3 linked regions of the Drosophila melanogaster genome follow. The protein of the gene in region 3 interacts with the protein of the main gene of each other region in a pairwise test. Each region holds a gene or a part of one and is shown on either strand. Other genes may lie near its edges.

What was found. The genes of interacting proteins can lie anywhere in the genome.
Region 1: the proteins of CG9192 (region 3) and CG2157 interact in a two-hybrid assay, tested with the Drosophila melanogaster proteins (one large-scale study listed by BioGRID).
Region 2: the proteins of CG9192 (region 3) and CG13050 interact in a two-hybrid assay, tested with the Drosophila melanogaster proteins (one large-scale study listed by BioGRID).

What each region holds. Positions count from the first base shown.
Region 1 is NC_004354.4:10,865,174-10,872,464, reverse strand, and holds CG2157 (uncharacterized protein), read right to left. Parts: upstream 3,182-7,291; 5' UTR 3,086-3,181; coding exon 3,074-3,085; intron 2,729-3,073; coding exon 2,356-2,728; intron 2,283-2,355; coding exon 1,924-2,282; 3' UTR 1,762-1,923; downstream 1-1,761.
Region 2 is NT_037436.4:16,276,699-16,283,105, forward strand, and holds CG13050 (uncharacterized protein), read right to left. Parts: upstream 2,574-6,407; 5' UTR 2,512-2,573; coding exon 2,503-2,511; intron 2,383-2,502; coding exon 1,960-2,382; 3' UTR 1,760-1,959; downstream 1-1,759. Other genes in the region: CG13065 (uncharacterized protein), read left to right, coding at 789-800, 870-1,280; CG13064 (uncharacterized protein), read left to right, coding at 3,781-3,789, 3,853-4,107; CG13049 (uncharacterized protein), read right to left, coding at 4,560-5,087, 5,151-5,168; CG13048 (uncharacterized protein), read right to left, coding at 6,280-6,407.
Region 3 is NT_037436.4:1,234,931-1,242,001, reverse strand, and holds CG9192 (uncharacterized protein), read left to right. Parts: upstream 1-3,682; 5' UTR 3,683-3,766; coding exon 3,767-4,702; 3' UTR 4,703-4,869; downstream 4,870-7,071. Other genes in the region: Klp61F (Kinesin-like protein at 61F), read left to right, coding at 11-34; galene, read right to left, coding at 520-725, 781-2,183, 2,248-2,374, 4,919-5,165, 5,225-5,431; CG33966 (uncharacterized protein), read right to left, coding at 6,769-7,026.

The sequences.
Region 1 (7,291 bases), on a different chromosome or scaffold from region 3:
CGGCACCCATCTACATTTCGAGCAGGTGTCCGATGACAAGAAGGGCGAGGTCATCGATAGTTTCTGGGTGGTCAAGGACAAGCATGGACCGTACCAGTCTGATCTCAACTCAAAAACTTTGTGATATTTTATGTCGTCATATACTAAAGTATTTTAAATTCGGGCACAAATTCGAATGATTTATATTCGCAGCAATCGGACCAAGAAACTATCCTCCTTCTAAACATATATATTTTAATGAAATGTAATTACAGTTATACGCTCAAATAAAACAACTATGTATGAGTGGCAATGATTGTGGCCTACTGATTCTATAGTCTTAAGTACGAAATTCGAGGGGAAACTGTTTTTAAAACGAGATGGTTTTAAATATAAATTGGGTCTTTAAAAGTGAGAATAATCCCAGCTAATGAACTTTGTTGTAGACAATCTTCGTGATATTGTGGTGACATGGTCGACTCGAAGTTCCCCCAACGCCTCGGTGGTTAAATTCTCGCGGAACTATCTAAAAGACGAGCCGATAATGGTGAACGGCACCTGGCAGCGATTCGTCGATGGTGGAAAGAAGGCTCGCACTCAGTACATACACAATGTGGAACTGAAGGATCTGGAGCCGGACACGCGGTACGAGTACAGCTGCGGCAGTCCGCTCGGTTGGTCGGCGGTGTTCAATTTCAAGACGCCACCGGCGGGTGAGAAGTGGTCGCCCTCGTTGGCCATTTTCGGTGACATGGGCAACGAGAATGCCCAGTCGATGGGCCGACTACAGCAGGACACTGAGCGAGGCATGTACGATGCCATCATCCATGTGGGTGACTTTGCCTACGACATGGACACCTCCAACGCTGCCGTGGGTGATGCATTCATGCGCCAGATCGAGTCGGTGGCTGCCTATGTGCCCTACATGGTTTGTCCGGGCAATCACGAGGAGAAGTAGTAAGTATTTGATGATGCCGGTGTGTTAACTATTCAAACCTAACTTACTTTGGCCCATCACAGCAACTTCTCCAACTATCGCGCCCGCTTCAATATGCCCGGCGAAACGGACAGCTTGTGGTACAGCTTCAACTTGGGACCCGTGCACTTTGTCTCCTTCTCCACGGAGGTCTACTACTTCCTCAGCTATGGCTTCAAGTTGCTGACCAAGCAATTCGAGTGGCTGGAACGTGACCTGGCCGAGGCCAATCTGCCCGAGAATCGGGCCAAACGTCCGTGGATCATCACCTACGGTCATCGACCGATGTACTGCAGCGACGACAAGGAGTACGATTGCAATAGCCAACTGGAGACGTACATTCGCCAGGGTCTGCCCATGCTCAAGTGGTTCGGCCTGGAGGATCTGTTCTACAAGCACGGCGTCGACGTGGAGATCTTTGCGCATGAACACTTCTACACTCGCCTGTGGCCAATCTACGACTACAAGGTGTACAATGGCAGTGCCGAGGCGCCATACACTAATCCCAAGGCGCCCATCCAGATCATCACGGGTTCCGCCGGCTGCAAGGAGGAGCGCGAGCCCTTCTCCAACGATTTGCCCATCTGGAATGCCTACCATAGCAATGTAATTGAATGACCTGCTTAATATCAAAACGGAATACTATAATTCTATAATCTCTTTAGGATTACGGATACACCCGCTTGAAGGCACATAATGGCACGCATCTTCACTTCGAGCAGGTGTCCGATGACCAGAACGGCGCCATTGTCGACTCCTTCTGGGTGATCAAGGACAAGCATGGCGCATATCCATCGCCCCAATGAGATTACATGCATATATAAATATATACTTTCTAGTTAAATGACGATTATGATAATGTATTTTTTTGTAGCATCTTTTAATAAAAATAAAGTTAGAAAAAAATATATCGATGAAAAAAAATAAATTCCACTAGCTTAGATCTTGAACGTTGGACCGTGCGGTGTCTAGTAGACGGTTCCCGAGATTCCGGAACCGTAGTTATAGCCCGATCCGATGGGCGGCACTCCGCCCAAAGCGCCCAAGCCGCCGCCCACCACGCTGTTGCCATAGTTGCTCGTATAGTAACTGGATGGATAGCCACCAGCGCCGAATCGGGTGTTGTAGTACGGATACCCAGTGCCGGCTCCAGCGCCCAGCCTGCTGTTGTAGTATGACAGGGCGTATGGATTCGAGTTGTAGGAGCCACCATAACCACTAAGTCCCGATCCATAGCCACCAAGAGCGGATCCATAGCCACCCAAAGCGGATCCATAGCCGCCCAGAGTGGATCCATAGCCTCCGTATCCGGCCACTGCAGCACCATCTGGGGATTGAGAAACAGCGTTGGTATACTACGAGTCTTCGGCAAGAGATTGAGAGTCTTCTTTCAAGCTCACCCTCACCTAATCCACCCAGAGCTCGCGAGCTGTACGGATTGTAGTAGCTGTCCACGCCAACGCCGACGCCACTGCCGTACGCTCCTCCATAGCCGGCTCCCAGGCCAGAGGCATAGCCGCCGTATCCTGCGCCATATCCGGCGCCATAGCCGCCGTATCCCGCGCCGTAGCCCGCTCCGTAGCCACCGTATCCACCAACATAGCGCTTCTCCTGCTTCTTATCCTGCAGCGGGGCATAGCTGCTGGCGGCGCTCACCTGATCCTCCACGGCCACCGCATCCGGTGCCGATGCGGATGCCACCTGCTCCAGGTCAGAATCCGCCGCGTCCTGGGCATAGGCACTCAGCACCAGACTGGTTGCTATCAGGATAAACTGCGCGAGGATAAAGCGTCACCAAAATGTATCATATTCAAAAGATTACCACTTAAAACATATTTCAATAAAGTGAAAAGTACTTTTTAACAATAGTATTTTGTTTAACAAATTCTCAAAAGCAACATAAAACATATTCAAAAATGTAATAAAAAAAATGTAAAAAATATGTATCAACTTTAAACTAAAATTTAAATACACTTTATAATTTAACAATGAACATCAAGCATTTGGAATACAATGCTTTCAAAACTTATTATTCACTTTAACGAACTGTGTTTTTTAAATCATTTTCTAGTTTTTGGGAAATTATAATCCACGAGAGATCCTTTGGCGAGTCCTTACAAAGCACTTCATGTTGTGGCTGCCGGTTTGTGGTGTTCACTGCTTTCTGGTGGCTAACTGCTCCTTCAAGACTATGATGCGCACGCGCCGTTCGACACTTGTCTAATGATTCCCCACCGGGCCGGCAGTCGCTTTTATACCCGCCGAGCCCACTTCCAATCCCAGCGAACTCGAGCCGCGAAGTTGGACGCAACTGTTGCATCCCAGAGATTCGTGTCGCCTTGCTTGCCACCTATGTATGTATGACGCATGCCACTGGACAACGTGTATGCTGATGGGTCTTGGCTTAATCATCAAACATATTAGATTGAATTTATATCCTGGATTAGATAGTTTCCAGAATCAGATGAGCTCTACTTAACCCATTTATGGAACAACTCTGGATCAACTTAGATTGCTAATATTGTATATTAAATACATATTTATAATCTTAACTCTTTTCTTGAAGAAAACAATACCTTTCGAATGATCTACTTATGAAAAGCTGGTTGGGCGTGTTGATGTGTGATCACACATCATTATGAATATTCCCACGATCTGGGGGATCAATTATACCGCCGCCGCTCAGGAGAAGCAATAACAATGATGACAAATGCTAATTGAATCATTAACTTGACCCTGAAACAGCTAATTGGTCAACATAAAACGCGAAAATGCCCAACGATTGCAGCTTTGAAAACAAAGTTTAAAAAAAAAACGTAACAGCAATCATGCGAGTCCAGTTGAAACGATTTAGTTAGATAGATAAATATTGCGGCTAGTACGTGACTCATTTCATGAACAACAGTATCGAATTGGGTTTTCACTTTCCAGCGCTTATTTAAGCCAACTGAAATTGTTAACAAAACATCGCAGAGAAGAAGAGCCAGGCGGATCTGAATGCTTGAATTTCGCCAACAAAGGTGGCAATTGTTAATTTCTTAGAGGCTTTTTGGCCAAGTGCCTAAGCTAAGTATCCCCATTCCAACCAACATTGCTGACACATTTTCTAAAAAACCTAACGGATTGGAGTCGTAACTTCGATTGGGTTGAATGGACTGAATTAGGTTCTACCAATCTGGGCGATAGTTTTAGCATAAATTCAGGGGTATTCCACATTTAAGTACATTTAATCTATAGAGTTTAGTACAAGAAACTAAAAAGTACTCAGATGTTTCAAATAACTTTAATAATAACTTTAGCAAGTGTTTGAATAATAAAGTAGCATTTAAGAACATAACGATCTATATCCGTTTGCCATTTTCCAAAACTGCAAAACTGTAGCTTGTATCTGTGCAGTTGAAGTTACGTGTGCCAATAGCATTGCGATACTTATCCACGGATATTTACGAAATATGTCAAAATAGTTGTCGATGCCATGCTTGTGGATAGCCACATAGTATATACATACGCTTGTCATACCGCCCATATGAGTGGGTTCACATTGTTCGACCCGGCGGGCATGTGAAAAGTGTTAACTGATTCGACTGACTGTATGGATGGATAGATGGTTGGAGGGATGGATGGATAGATGGAGGGATGGATGGAGGGAGGCAACCGAAGCTACTGCCGACTGCTATGAGTTGACTTGGCCATGGGTGCACTTTGGCGATGGCCTGGGAGTTTCTCGTTTTTTTTTTTCTTTTCTTGTGCTCTTACCCCACTGAGACAATGGTTCTTTAATGCCGAGGCCTAAAAGCCCATTACACGGGCAGCCCGTGAATCTCGCGGTAAGTGGTAGCCTCCATTTCTTGGCCAACCCGCGCACACGGGGCGTATGAGTAATCAAGGAAAAGCAAGCACGGTGCAAAAATCAGATTTAGAACTTTGTCAGTTGAGATAGAGCCAGTTAAAAGCATAAAAAAATGTGGAGCAAAACTAGTATAGTGATTTTTTCAAATATCATTTAAGTTGCATATTTCATCTCAGAATTTTAAGACCATTCTAATCCATTATTGTATTCAAGAGTTTTTCTATCTTTGTATATCACTCAGTTCATGTTGTATCTTTTCCATTGAAGTATACGCACCTGTTTTTCGCAGTGCATTCGAAGGGAAGAACCAAATCCCAGATTAGACAGGTAACATTTTCCCCGGGGCGTTGCCATGATTCGTTGTTCTAATTTGCAAAAGCAAATCACGCTCGACGGTGGCAGCAATCTTGCATCATTCATGCCAGTCGCACGCCCACCAATTATATTTACAAACAGATTTAATTATAATTGAACAGAGCGGCTTGGTTAACTGAAAGCAGAAAAACTGAAAACTAAAGCGATCCAAATGCAGCTTTAAAAAAAAAAAAACCGCAAGCAAGGTACATCGAGCAAATGAAGCTGAAAATTATGATGATGCTGACTATGATGACGACGATGATGATGATGATGGGAACTTTGGGGTGGCAGTGGGTCGAAGTGGGCTGCATCTGGGTGGCTACCTTAGCTAATCTCAGACCTGGAGACAATGGTGTGGCGACAACAAATCCACAACAAAGCAAAACAAAACCATGGCCTTTTCCGCTGAACTTGCACTTTGCATAATTGCATATTACCATCAGCCAAGACCAAGAATACTTCACACGATTATCCATCCATGTGCATTGTGCGACTGGCCAAACGACAAAGTCAAGTCCCTCGCTCAAGCGGTGACCACCACCCCCATAATGGATCGTATCCCCAAGCTCCAAGCGACCTTGACCTAAATACTTAAATAATGGTAAATAATATACACCTTGTCTATTATTGCTCCACTGCAGATAATGCAACTCTCTATCAGGATACTTTCAGTTTGTCTTCAGAGTGCGATTCAATTACTATTGCCTACTCTACAGCGCAGTCCATGAAAATAGCACCAATTGAGTTACATATGCATATCAAGGTTGGGGAGATGAATGGGGTTCGGCTCTCGAAATGAATCATCTGCAATTGATTAGACGCGTCTCGTGAATAACTAGATTCGATGTCGCCAGCGATGAGTTCCAGTTCTCATTCACTTCGATTGAATGCGAAAAAAAAACAATGAAAATAGTTTGAAGATGCATGACATATCCATAAATCCCCAGACGAACGAGGCACACATAAATCGCAGCTAGAGAGACAATGCCAGGGGCAAAGTTGTAGAATCAACCCATTCCAATCAGAATCAACCCATTCAAAATGCATTTTCGGTTTGAATGCTGTAAAAAATATACATATACAAATATATACAGGACTGGGTCTCTATATATATCATGTATTCTCATGTATATATCAGTTTATTTAGTCTTCTTCAAAAGTTCTTTGGCGAGCTGCCCGCGGAGCTTCCCTCGTCAAATGGCACCTCGCCCAATCTAACTACTTTCTGTAATTTATTCATTCCTTTTTTCTCATTTTTTTTTTTTTTTTTAATTTTTTGGTTTTTAAGTTGTTGTCATTCTTTTCGTTTCATTTGATTTGATTTTTTTGTACGTTCTTTTTTGTCAATTTTTTCTTTCGATTTGTACAAAGAATAGTGCTGAAAGAAAATTAGGTATAGGTTTTATATATGATTACAATTAAGTTAATATCTGGGTATCTCTGCTCTGCTCTAATGCATGTGCACGCGCGAGACAGAGACACAGCTATTGCGATGGTCAGAGATAGATATAGGTGTCAGCGAGAGAGAGAGAGAGAGAGATAGTTGTCAGAGAGCGAGATAGAGGACTAGGGAATGTTATGGAATAAGGAACATTGGGGGTACAGTTGCGTTCGCCATCGAAAAAAGTTCCAATTGACATTTTTAGGTTAGTTTTAAATGATGGGTATAACACGTGATGGGGAATTGGATTGGGTTAGGAACAGTAGTTTGGCGTGATAACAGGGGCATAAACAATAAGGGGAGGAAAAAAGTTAAGTTACAAACTATAACAAAATCAAACTATTTGTCTAGGACTAACAAATCAAAAATTTTTGGGCGTGTAGAAACAGAGATATTATCGTTCAAAATGCTTAAAATTATAATAAATAAATTTACGGATAGGTTTCGTGCACACATAGAGAGTAACTTTCTAGGTACATATATAGATAACTAACATCGAATAGTGTTTGCATTTCTGCTAGTCGGTTCTTAACTATACACTATACACAGGTAAAATGTATTGGCGATTCGAACTGAAAATGTAAAGCTGGGAAAATGCGGGGAATATTAGATGGTGTTGTCTTGTGTGTGTGTGGGGCCCAGTATCGAAAACTAGTGCCCCGAAAATATAATGCACTTATACACTAAA
Region 2 (6,407 bases), about 15 Mb from region 3:
TACAAAATGCAATTTAAGTTTTTCTCACGCACACCTTGTCGCGGCTTCGGCATTAGGTAAATAGACCAAAAACAAATTTATCAGAAATTATTCAAAATAAAAACAAAAATGGTCGAAACGTTGATCGATTGGGGAAATACCCTTTGACTGGAGACAATTATGAATATTCAATATAAACAGCATAATACTTATAATAGATAATATATATTTAGATTGAAATTTCCATAAATATATTAAAAATATTAAGACAAAATAAGTTCTAATAGTGTAAATAGGTAAATATAAATATTTCATTATTGTGAACCGAATAACTCACAGAATAACTACTATCCTTGTAGAAGAATCAAAAATTTAATGAATAATTTATGTAATATTTCATTTGATGACTTTCCTAATTACGTATTAAAATCCTTATTATTCATTAGATAAAAACAATCTCTCATTTAGTTTACCACCGAAAGGGTATGGCCAAATCGCAGCCCAGGCCCACATCCGCGTTGTCTGGGGCGGGGCCAGGTGGTGCTCCGGTGGGTCCCAGGTCTCCATCGCCATCTCGATACTCGACAGGCCAGCTTTGCATGTGGCTCTCTTGGACTCGGTTTTGGGCTACGAATATGCCTATGTCTCTCGTTTGAACAAAAGTAAAAGTCTCTGGGCCGCCAGTTTGGATCCGTTCTCGTGCTGCATTTTGGCCAGGTCTGTGGGCTATAAAAGCATTTGTGCCTTAGACAGCGGCATTATTCAGCTTTGTGTTCTTGCCACGAGTTCAACTTGCAACCAAAACCAAAATGTTCAAATACGTAAGTGGAATTGATATACTCTGAAAAGTCCTTTGTTAGTATCTCATTTTTTTTTCCCCCATCAACTAGTTCGTTTTCGCCGTTTTCTGCCTGGCCAGCGCTGCTGCTGCTCCTGGCTATTTGGGCGGATTAGCTGCTCCGGCCTTGCCGCTGACTGCAGCTGCTCCGGCCATCTCCTATGGACACGCCTTGGCTGCTCCCTCGATTGCCTCTTACGGGCTGGCCCCCAGGCTTAGCTATGCCGCCCCGGCCTTGGCGCACGCTCCTCTGGCTGCTCCGGCCCTTTCCGCCTACGGATTGGGATATGGTCCCGGTCCCATTGGCCTGGCTCATGGTCCTTTGGGACTAGCTCACGCCCCTCTGGCCGCTCCCTTGGGATTGGGCTACAAGTCGGCATATCCTACTCTGGGTGCTCCTCTGGGACTGGGCTACAAGACAGCTCTTGCTGCTCCTGCCTATGGACTCGCTCATGGATGGTAAACGAGGTCCATACCACCCATCATCGTTTTCCGCATGCATTTCGTTTTGTTTGGATCGGTCAGAAATGAGATGTAAATACACAGAGAAAAAAGAGAGAGAGAGAAATCAGTGAAGGTTTTGTAAAGTGAAATCAAATTGTTAAAAAACAGATTGTGAAGAGTGGGTTTGATGTTGAAATATATTTCGATTGAATTTAAAAACTAAACTTAAAACTGTTTTATTTGATCAAGCGTTTGAGGCAATATGAAAAACGTGCTGACAATTTTCAAATATTCAGTTTCATTTTGTTTTTCAGATATTTATTTTCAGATTTCAGTATTTGGATGTTCCTTATAGCCAAAGTTTTGAAATCGTAAACGAATGTTATATATTTTGTTCAGAACATCAAAAGTGTGCTTTACTTACATTAAGTATCAAAATATATGTTTAGTATAGGCAATTAAGACAATTATAAATATGTCTCAAAGAACCGTGAGAAAAAAAGATCCAGTTTTAATAAACGGTTGACCATGATTCTAGTTTTTTGTACATTTTTTGCTTTGTCTTTATTGATTTATTGACTTGCTGAGTGACTGACTGAATAAGATTTGGGTACTGCGAAGTATATGACTTGATTGAAAACTCTCACACGCTCGTCCCGGCTCCATTTGGCTTAACTTTACTTGACTTGGGAGTACCTCTACCAACCGTGGCCATAGCCATATCCCAGTCCGTATCCCAGACCCAGACCCAGACCCAGACCGTGTCCTCCGTACAGTCCATGGCCGTAGCCTCCGAGATATCCGTGACCGAGGCCATAGCCATAGCCGCCCAAGTAGCTTTTGCCGATGATCGTCTTGGAGATGATGGGTGCATGGTAGCCCAATCCCAGACCAAGACCTCCATAGTGCCCGCCATAGCCGTGCCCGTAGAGTCCTCCGTAGTGCCCGATTCCTAGACCCAATCCCAGGCCATATCCACCGTAGCCATGACCAATTCCGATTCCAATGCTGGGTGATGGAGATGGAGCAGGAGCTGGAGACGGAGATGGTTCTGGAGCGGGTTCAGGAGCAGGAGCTGCCAGGATGGAGGTCGTCAAGCAGGCGATTGTAATGAGTAGCAGCTTTCAATGAAGAAAAGACAAATGTTATTTATATGATTTAAGTAAAAAAAATTGCTTATATTTTCTAAAGTATTTTTTATTAATAATTGTATTATCCTTTTATATCCTGGTACCACTTACTCCTTTCATCTTGCTGTAGGTAATTTTCCGGCTGCTTCTGTGGCGGCTTAACCAATTGTGTTGCTGCAGTTGATCCCAGCAGGCCTCTTTTATACCAAACCCCAGTTCAGTGGATTGCATCCCCACATGGACATCGGTGATCTAATGAGCAGTGCCACAAAGTAAATCTAATTCGCCTGACAAGTTGCCCAAGTTAGCGGCATGCCACAAAACCATCCGTAGCTGCTGTAAATAAAAAGAAAATCCAACACCTGTTTTTTTTTGCCTTTTGGGCCAGCATTGTATAATCTGCAATCGAGTTTGGCATTTACCAGTCCACAATGGTTCCAGTTCCAGTTTTTAATTTGGCCTGTGGGCATTTTAAATCTGGTGGGTGGCCTTTTCCTTCGTTTCCTTCATGTGATTCCGGTTGGATCTGATCAAGAACTAAGATCTGAACTTCGGGTCAATGGTCTGTTTATTTTTATTCAGTATAGAAAAGAAGAGAACTATATAAGTAAAAGTATAGACTCCTCCAAAAAAACGCTATATATTCGTAGGTTTAATTTAAATATATTTCAAAATCTATTTTTCACGAATCTATAACACAAGTATATATTAAGCAAAATTTGTATGTGTCAGACTGGCCACAAAAGCAACTTCGTTGTAGGGAGTGTGCTAGTATTAAAACTAAAACAACGTTTATAACCGCTTTAGCATAAAGAGCTCGAACAGCCGCTGAATAAAGTCAAACTAATCAATTCTTAACACCTCCAAAGCCACATAAAATAGCTCGAAAAACACAAGATTGGGCAATGATTAAAATTGAAAAGAGACATCAAATGGGTAAACAAAGGCAAATCCGCAGACGTGTGACCAACTAACTCATACTTCCCAAGAAAAAAAAAACAAACAAACAAAAAGCCGAGAAATGTAAGACAACAAAAGCAACCAACCAACCCAATGTGCCATAATTAAGTGCACAAAAGAGTCACTGACTCTTTGATAATCTTCGGCGTTGACGCTTTAAACTTGAACTTGAAAACGGGTTTCTTTTCGAAGAGAAGGGGACCAGAGGCCAAGTGGAGTAGTGCTCCCACTACATGGATGTTGCAACAGGTTCCTGGTAGCAAGGGAAATGCAGTTGCTGATCTCAGGGGATTGTCAACCGGTTTACCCCTCCTAACTGTTTAAAAGCGCTATGAAAATCCAGCGATGAAGACGAGCCTATAAATTGATTGGCCTTCGGCTGCATTCAGCTTAGTCCAAGTGCAGTTCTGACCACAATATCACCAGAGAATGTTCAAGGTAAACAGGATAGATACTCAGTACTCCTTTATTAGTATCTGTATCTGATAGATCTTATTTTAGCTCGTCGTGCTATTCGGCCTTTTGAGTGGTGCCTTTGCCGCCACGGTTATCTACCATCACCCGGTGATCTATCATCATCCTCTGCCGGTTGCATCAACGCCCCAGGAGTTGGCTCAGCATCCTGGCTACACCATTGTGGCACCTCTCACGAAGATTGCCCACGTCACCTACGATTCGGTGCCCATTTCGCACACGCCCTACGAACATGTTCCTCTCTTCCAGAGGATTGGTCATGTCAAAAACATTAGGTTCTAGCGATGTATACCCTAGAAAAACATAGTTTAACTTATAAATAAAAACAAATAATAATAATAATCATTCTTTTAATCATTACGTTTAACATTGCTGCTATCACTGATGAATGATTCTATAAAACTTACCTAAAAATCCGTAAAAAATATAGAAACCGTTTATATGGTTTTAGAAGGTATTATATATTATCCGCTAATGATGTTCGACTTTTAAGAGCAGTATTAATTTGAAATATGATTTTGGATGGTATAATCCAAGGCAGCTATAATAGGAAATACTACTGAGAGGCTACCAAGTAAACTTCCTCAAAGAAACACGTTTGTAAATTTGATTAATGGATAATTGTTTATTCGCCAAGCATTGCTGCTCTCTAGGAGATGAAGATTTGGGCTAGTTTCTACAATCTAATAGGACGGATGGGAGTGTATGAGCTGGGTGATCCTACAGCTAAGTCCTTAGAAGAAGTATGGGGCGGGAGCGAACTTGGGGGCCACAGCCAGAGGCGCTGGGACTGGAGCAGCCAGGGGAGCGGCGAAGGGTCCGAATCCGAACTTGGCTGGTGCGGCGAAGGCAACAGGCGCCGGAGCAGGGGCGAAGCCCAGAGGAGCAGCCACCGGAGCGGGAGCGGCGAAGGCAACCTTGGCGGGAGCAGCAAAGGCCACCGGAGCAGGAGCAGCAGCCACTGGCAGAGGAGCAGGAGCGGCAAAGGCCACTGGAGCGGGAGCAGCAACTGGAACGGGCAGGGGAGCGGGAAGGGGAGCAGCGAAGGCCACTGGAGCTGGAGCAGGAGCCACTGGGTATGCCACGGCGTGGTTGATGCGGTGGGCATTGAAGCTGGAGGCATATGGAGCCACCACTCCGGCGGTAGCCACAGGAGCAGCCAGGGGAGCTGCGAAGGCAGGAGCAAGTGGAGCAGCCAGTGGAGCCGGAGCATGGAAAGGAAGGAGACCAGCCTGAGCAGAGGCCACGCAGAGGGCAACGAGCTGTAAATGAAGGTATATATCTATAATCCACTTCGATAGATCCGGACATCCTTTGCAACTCACCACAATCTTGGCGAACATTTTGGGGATTGGGTATGATTTGCTAGGTGTGATTAGCTTGAAGGCAGACTGAACTGTGATATCCAATTGTCCACTGGGTAACGCTTTTATAATTCTGTAGCCCACGGAATATCCATGGACGCGCATACGAAAACACCTTGGAAGACTTTCTATATTGGGAGCTGATGAAGGGCGTTGCTGGATCGGTGCGATATATGTACATATGTACTTAATAATCAATCGGTAGCCTCTTACGTCGATCGCCCCCGAAAACTTTCATAATTGCACGCAATTCCCGACCATAACCTAGGTTAATATTGGGCAAGATTTCGTTTGGGTTTCGGTCGGGTTTATGACAGTTGGGGCTTTTCGAATATTTTCGGTGGGTGGTGCTTTTGTAATGAGCTGCAATTATTTACCCAGAGTACGTGTTACTTGGCTCAATCATTTAATTGAATTACCACTTTTTTTCGTCCACCCGCTTTTTGTTTATTGTTGCAACAATTGTCGCGTGTTTGGGCCGGGTTTGTGTCTGGAATTTCTGATTTGATTTCATGTTGCGTGCAGTTCGAAATCCACTAACAACATTTCTGTGCCCCACTTGTGAGTGTGTGTGTGTGTGTGTTGCCAATAGTTTGTGTGTGTGTGTGTTGGCCGAATAAATGAAACCCCATTTGGCGACATTACGAGGCGTCTGGTTCGTAATGAGAGTCTGAATCAGATAGCGAATATGTTTCCTTTTGCTAATTTTTTGGTGTGCCTATGATTTTATCAACCGCAGTTACATTCTCTGGGATTTCTATTTTTGGAAATAATTGGTAAGAATGTGCGGGAATACTGAATATATTTTCATATATTTTGCTTAAGAACGCAATGATTGAATTCTAAGGTTAACAGAGCCTTAAATTGAGTATAAATGTAATTTGATTTATAATTCATTTTATTTGACTATATTTATTCGATATATTATTGTATAATGCATGAATTTTATTTGTTTCGTTTTTTATTTCACTATATTTATTCGATAAATTATTGTATAATGCAGGTAGACTTGTAGATTTAAGCTTTACATATCCTATCTGACACTAATTACTCTTTGGTGAGGTTTTCATCATCCGTAAGGTCGGGATGATCACCACAGCGAGTGGTGATGGTGATGAGCGAACTTCAGGGGCAGGGCTTTCAGATGGGCGTGGGGCGTGGCCAGCAGCTTGGGAAAGGCGTAGCCAATGGACACGCGGTGGGTGGTGGTCTTCGGTC
Region 3 (7,071 bases):
ATATTTTTAGCACAACAAAGAAAACGTAGCCTGATTGCATTCGATGACAGTAGTAGTCTCCCCTTCCCAGTAACCCGTTTATGTTAGTGGATTTCGGATCGCTGTGTTTGTTTGGCTCTTCTGGATATTCATTTTATCTGTATATCAATCTTTGGAATTTCGTACATTTATTATTTAAATAAACTCAGTATGCTATGTAAAGTTAAGGAAATCTTTAGTTCAAGTGCAGGTTTAAGATATATCAGAAGGTATTCTTAAACTTCGATACTATTTTTTAGGGAAGAAGTGAATTTGGTTTTTTAATGATGTCATGCCTTCCAAGGAAGCGCTTTATAATTAATATAATCTTAACTATTTTACTTATCATATTCTCGTTTGTGAATTTAAATTTGTTGAAGTTTTTTTTCATAAAACATTTAAACATATTAAATATCCATCTTTCAAAGTGTGTTCCTTATAATTAGAGCATCCAACATATTTAGGAAAAAACAGATGTCATAACTATCTATCTATCTATTACTAATCCTCATCCTGCTCGTCGTCATCATCCTTAAGAATGCCCAGACGGCGGGCTACCTCCTTCACATTGGCAATGAACTCCTCCTGGACCAGGTTAAAACTCATGGCCAACAAGGCAATGCCGAAAAGAAGGTACAGCGAGCAATAGGCGATGGACTGCTCCGACTCGTCCTTGACTCCTTTCGCGGGGACAAAGTCACCAAATCCTGTAATGCAAAAGCAGATGAAAAGAGTGCGCAAGGAATTGGGATAAACACAAACCGATTGTTGTCAGTGTAATGAAGCAAAAGTAGGCGGAATCCAAGAAGGACCAGTTCTCCCAGTACGCAAAAAGAACAGCTCCGCCAAGGATGTAGCTCACTACCAGAAAGACGCATAACCAAATGGGGACAGGTCGATCCTTGGGCAGCAGATCTCCATAGTCCCCATACTCATCCCCGTACATAGAGTCATCGTCGTCGTAATCGTAGCTGGGTCGCCGACGGATTTGCCGCTGGACCGGAAATCCCATTGGTGACATGATTCTCGGGGAAGGGGGCAAACGTTCAGCCCGCTCTCTTCGGCGATTTCTTTTTGGTTCTCGACTCCTTGAGTGGTGGCGCTCAGGCGGATAATCCTCGTAGTTATTGTCTCCGTAAAGGGATCCCTCATCGAAGCTCTCTTCCACGTAGTCCTCGTAGCGACCCTGGGAGTGACCACGCCTATCCCGTCGATGGTCCCGTCCCGGCGGTGGAGCATCATAGTCGGGAAGTTCGAGATGGTTGCCATAGCGAGATGATTGCCTGCCCAGACTTCCAGCTCGTCTATCATGCTGTTGGCGATAGGAGCTCTGCGGTGGCGGCTGTGGAGATCGTTCCCGTTCTCTGTCCTTCTGGCGTTGCCTTTGGTGAGCAGATCTGGGCATGGATTGACTCCTTGGAGCTGCTTGTCTTCTGTTGCCCCCGAAGTCATCTAAAGCATACCTATTTGGTATAATTGGTGTTTTCCTCACCACGTCCTCGTCGACGTCTTCGTAATGTGAAGAAACGTGCCTGGGATCCACGGACTTGGCCCTACTTCTCCCAGGTGCCGAGTGAAGACGATGCAGTTCTCTGGACGCTTTGGAAGATTCCTGATTGTGTGGCGATCGAACCGATCGCACACTGGCAGCTCTTTTCGCAGGAGGTTGCATGTCACCGAAGTCCTCAATGGATCCAGCATCCAAGTGGGATCGAGAGTAGCGCTCCCTTTCTACCGTGTGTCTGTCCCTCATCCGATCCCGTTGTCTTTGCCGGCTACTGTAGCGGTTGGATCTGTTCAGGGTCTGAGTTTCGTACCCATCTCCGTAAATGGTGTGACGCTGGCGAGGATCGTGATGCAAATGCTGCTGCTGCTGCTGACGACGATTGCGTCCGCCTCCACTGCTCCGATGTCCGAACTCGCGGTCATCGTAGCCCCGGCCCATGGTGCGCAGGTCGGGATCTGAATAGGCATGACCCATGGAAGGACCCAGACCCGAGTCATTCCCAGACCGTTGGGTCATCTTCATGGAGCGCCGGAACGAGGGCGGCGGCTGGGATCGGGCATGGCGCTGAGAGCGCATCGATCTCTGCCGGGATCGGGCATTCCTCGGACGTTTGGCCGTGCGGGTGCACACATAGCAGCATATTCTCCAGTACAGAAACCTATATTGGAATATATGTATGAAAACATACTCATTTAGTTCTCAGCTCATCGATGTCAACTCACCGAAATGATGTGGCCATGACATCGCCAATGTTGGACAAGCAGATGAGCATCAGCGGAATGCCCACAATGGCGTAGAAAATCGTTGTCACCTTGCCCCAATCCGTACGCGGCGATATGTGACCATAGCCTGTCCAGAGAATGACAAGGAACACATAATTACTCTTTCGCAGATAGGTAAGATTGATTTTGAGTCACCTTTCACCTTCAACCTCGTGACCGCAAAGTTCTTGAAATACTAATGAATCTAAGACCCGCTAAGGCCCAATCCCCAATCCATATGTACTTCTTTTTGTTCATGCCAAGCCCATTATCGCTTCGAAATAGCAAACATGGCATTTCAAGTCTGCCGCTTTTGGCCTTTACGGAAGTGTGCAAATTCGTAGATAGCATTCTGTGCCCCTCTTCGCGGGGTTCTATCTGATGGGCGTCGGTCACTAAACCCATTTGTGTGCTAGCCGTAAATCCATATCGGGGAAAAGTGCAGACGAAAAGCGTAAAACTAAGCTCCCATCATCAACAGCCAGAGCTAATAAACTGATTTATACCAAATACTTCCACTCGAAAGCCGAAAAGTTGAATGCTCTAAGTGGGTTAAAGTGAAAAAGGTTTCTGTATACTTTTAAAGTAGGAGAGTTTATAGAGTTCTTGGGGTTTGCTTAAGGCCTTCGATTGAAAACCTTCCATGCACCACTTCCCCTTTTATGAGTAATCACTAATCACCAACACCCCCTGTGTGTTAGGGTATACTAATAATGAGAAATTCCCATCGTTAAAATCTAAAAATCTGAAATGCCAGAAAAGATAATCACGATCGGTCAGTGGCGTTTGACCTTGCTGTTGTTTTGACCACAAACAATTGGATGGCAGCAATCCACTTTTGGTTTCATTTGACACGCTCCACACACCCTCGCTCCCTTTGAAAGCCATCACCACCCGAATGAACCCATTTTTAGAGGTCAACCACGTGCTGGCTGCTCACCTGACTGTGTCCGAGCTGAATCTTTGACTTGTGACTCCCGCCCTGCAAAGGAAGCAAGCATATGTTTTCCAACTCATGGAAATTCCCAGGAATAAGCTTTTAGGTCGATCGGTGGTGGTCAATTACCGTGATTTATGCGATTTCAACGTGATCGCTGTGTGGACAAAACCAATTGTCCGACTCATCCGCTTGCCTCATTGGTTCCTGGGCGGATTGCGGTCTGGTCGCGCTTCAGGTGAATCAACGTGGGCCAAGACTTGGGCCACAGATCTCTGAAGATTTCTGTCTGGCACGATCGTTGATTCATTGGTCGGGCAGCCGCCGAATGCGAATACCTGCGGCTGCCCTCGTCGCTTGACTGAGTTTGTGCGTCGTCATCGCCGCTGATGTCTCTGGCGGTTGTATTTGTTTTTTGGTTCTCGGGTGCGGTTATATAAGTAGTGTGTGCCGGTCGCATTTTCGAACTATTCTGTTGCGGGAGCTTGCCGCGATCAAGCGCAAAAATCGGGTCAGTGTGTAATCGAACAAAGCGTGCCAATCATGCCAAGCTATTGCCTCATCATCGTCCTATGCCTTCTTGGATCAGTGGCGGCTAAGTCTTCGGATGGAGATCGAGATCAGTGGGTCTGGAGGTCCTACAATCGCAGGGAGCGCTCTTTTCGGGACATCAATCGCAGTTCCCCCATAAGGAACTCGTACGACGAAAAGCTGAGGCGGGAGCCCACGACTCGAAGACCTTTTCCGGGCGAACCGGAGAATGATGAGATAGAGGACTATGCCGATGTGGAGCCCACCAGGTCATCGGACACTCCCAACGTAGGCACCCGTCAGTTTAATCCATACGGTGGTCAGACCAATGCCGGACAGTTCGGAGGACTTGGAGGCTATAACGGAAACCCCGGAGTGCTAGTCGGACCTGGCGGACCCACCGGAATCATAGGGAGACCGCAGCTATACCCCACTCCCTATCAGCCAGGCTATGGTGGATTCTCTGGAGCTCAAAATGGCATTAGTGGATATCCAGGCGGATACGGAGGAGTAGGACAGGGACTTCCCGGAGCTGGATTCCCCGGAGCCAGCGTGGGTGGTGGGTTTAACAACTTCCCCAGTAATGGACTTGGCCTCAACCAATTTCCTGGCAATGGGCAATACCCTTACGGCTCCTATCCAGGTGGCGACTTCGGTGGAAGCCAATTCGCGGGCGCAGGTGCCCAGTTCCCAGGATTGGGACAGTACCCAGCAAACCAACAGTTCGGTGGACCTCAGTACACCGAGGGCTATGGTCTGGCAGGAGGACTGGGCTTAGGTCAACTTGGAGTAGGCAACGGTGGACTCGGATACGGTGGAAGTTTTCCACCTCTAGGAGGAGGCTTCGGCTATGACGAGAAATCGCCAGCTGTGGCCGATGGTAAGAGTGCTAAGAGTGTGGCAGCGTCACCCAGAAAAGTGAATGATAAGCTCAGTAAGAAGGTCTAGAGCTTCGTGTTTTAGAAGTGGAAGGTGTTATGTTAAAGATATGGAACTGAAGCTATTACTTTCCCACTCAACCCTCCTTTTTCCCTTAGGCTGAGTTGGAAGTAGTCACCTTAGTGTAGGCATAGTTTACGTATAGACTAAGCAAATAAATTCCCATGTTTACTCACACATGACTTTGAAGAACTCAATCCATAAGCTTAAAAAAAACATACTCACCTATGGTCGTTATCACAATAATCGAGTAGAACAGGGATCCGGCAAAGGTCCACTGGGACTTGCGCAGATCCTCGTCGCCATCCCAGCCGTCGGCCTTGATGGCCGTAAGGATTTGCTTTTCAAAATTGGCCAGGTGCTTGCTGACATTGGCCATCCAATCGCTTTCCCTTAGGACCACTGCGTCGTCGGACAGTAGCCAGATATTCTCCGTGAGATTAACGCGAAGATTCTGTATGTCTCGCTTCACCTGCATGGGGATTTTGGATTTTTAGCATTTGAGACCTTCCAGCAAAATCACCCACTCACCTCTAGTTCGTGGGGTCGTTCGAGATGCTGGAAGAGGTAGGCACCGCCCACGCAATAGGAAACCACGAGAAGCACGAGCAGCACATGGGACACAATGCAGGTGAGCACCTTCCACGAGAAGCAGATGGCAGCTACACAGCGTCCGCGTTGCGGCTTCGCTGGCTCCAACATGTGCGCCGGCAGAGATTGGGCCCGCCTACCCGACATGGTCACCCTCCTCTGGCCTCCTCCTTCCTTTGGCTAATTTGCCGCTCGGTTGGCTGTGAATTATGAAAGGCAAAATAAACTAAATAAAGGATGGGACGAAAATGTTTGGAGGTCGGCCTGGCAAATACCCTTAGAAATTGTAAATTGTTGTTGAGATGAAGAGTTGTTTGAGAGTGCCTCTCCGAAGTAATATATTGTAGTAACCTTAATGGGAATGCTACATAATGTTTAAAATTATGCCTGCGAATAAACACGCCTTCTATGGCGTTCGTTTCAGAAATCGTTGGTAATCTCCAAAGGAGCAATTACCGAGAAGCCAAAAGGTAAACCAGACAAAGCTCCACGGCACATATGTTTATTTGTCCAAATATTTATTTATTTGGGTTGCTGGGGCAAGGCCGAAGAGCCAAGGGGATCAGGTGCGGAAGACTCGACTCCATGAGACTATTTTGGGTGCCGCCGCCCGGCGGGGCATTCATCTCATCGTCAAATCTCGTGCCACGCCTGTCGAGAACTCTGCTGGTTCCTCTTGCTTATAGATGCGGACTACATAACATGTCCGAGCAATTATGAACTTCGATTTCATGTGGGCAATTAGCGCTGGTGAATTATGGGCCCATCGGGATTGGGCATTGGACTGCTGTTAATGATGATTACCGATCGCTGATCGCCTTCTGATTCGCACTGAGGAAAACTTTTCAGTTTTCCACATTAAGTTCCATGCTGTATATTTTGCCCGCACTCTCCCGTCTTCCGTCTAACAATCCGTTTCCGATTCTATATCCGATGGGATCCGTACAGAGAAAAGAAGCACCGATCCGTACGAGCCACAAATTCTTACTGCGGATCGCAGCTACAGATGGACTCTCCACGGATCGCTCGGGAAATTGGGTTTATTTTTGGTCTAACGCGAAGTTCTCTTGTCTTCCGTAGATATATAGTTTTGGAAAAACTTTTATTTTCGGCTTTTCTCTGGTCGTCGTTTGTTTTGTATTGTTTGGCTCTCTCAGTCGTCGCACTTTGTGTTTTGATTATGGTGTCTATCTGATTGAAGGAATCAATTAATCTGCTGCTACAGGTGGTCTAACTGATAAGCAATGCATGGACTTAATCTACAATTTTTAAATGAAAATCATAAACTCGTTAACGTGTAATTGAATATAAAATTAACTATCTTTATTACATGCTGTGCTAAGTTTTCGGCTTGTTTTTTATGCTCTTAGCGCTATGCTTATCACAAATCGACTGGTGTACAACCATTACCTTTGTTACCTTAGATAAGAGCTGCAGCTAAGACTATTTTAAGCAATTTAGCAGGGTTAGGAGGGCTTGACACTTCAGTCCACATTCAATTGCCGGAAGGAGCCCTGCAGACCAAAAAGACTCTCGAAGTCAACAGGCTGACCCACTCGGAGGCTTTCATCGGTTCCGTAGTTCTTCTCCTCCTCCCAGTAATTCCGGTAGGCTAGAATACGCTGCTCCCACTGCTGCAGCAGCTCCGGAATCGATCCGTTCTCCCCTCCGTATTCCACTGGCAAATACTGTTTGGGAATCTGATTGTAGAGTGCCTCCCATTTGCTTCCATGAACGTAGAGCTGGCGGTGTAAGAGAACTTCAATTACCTTCCAACTTTGCTTGGT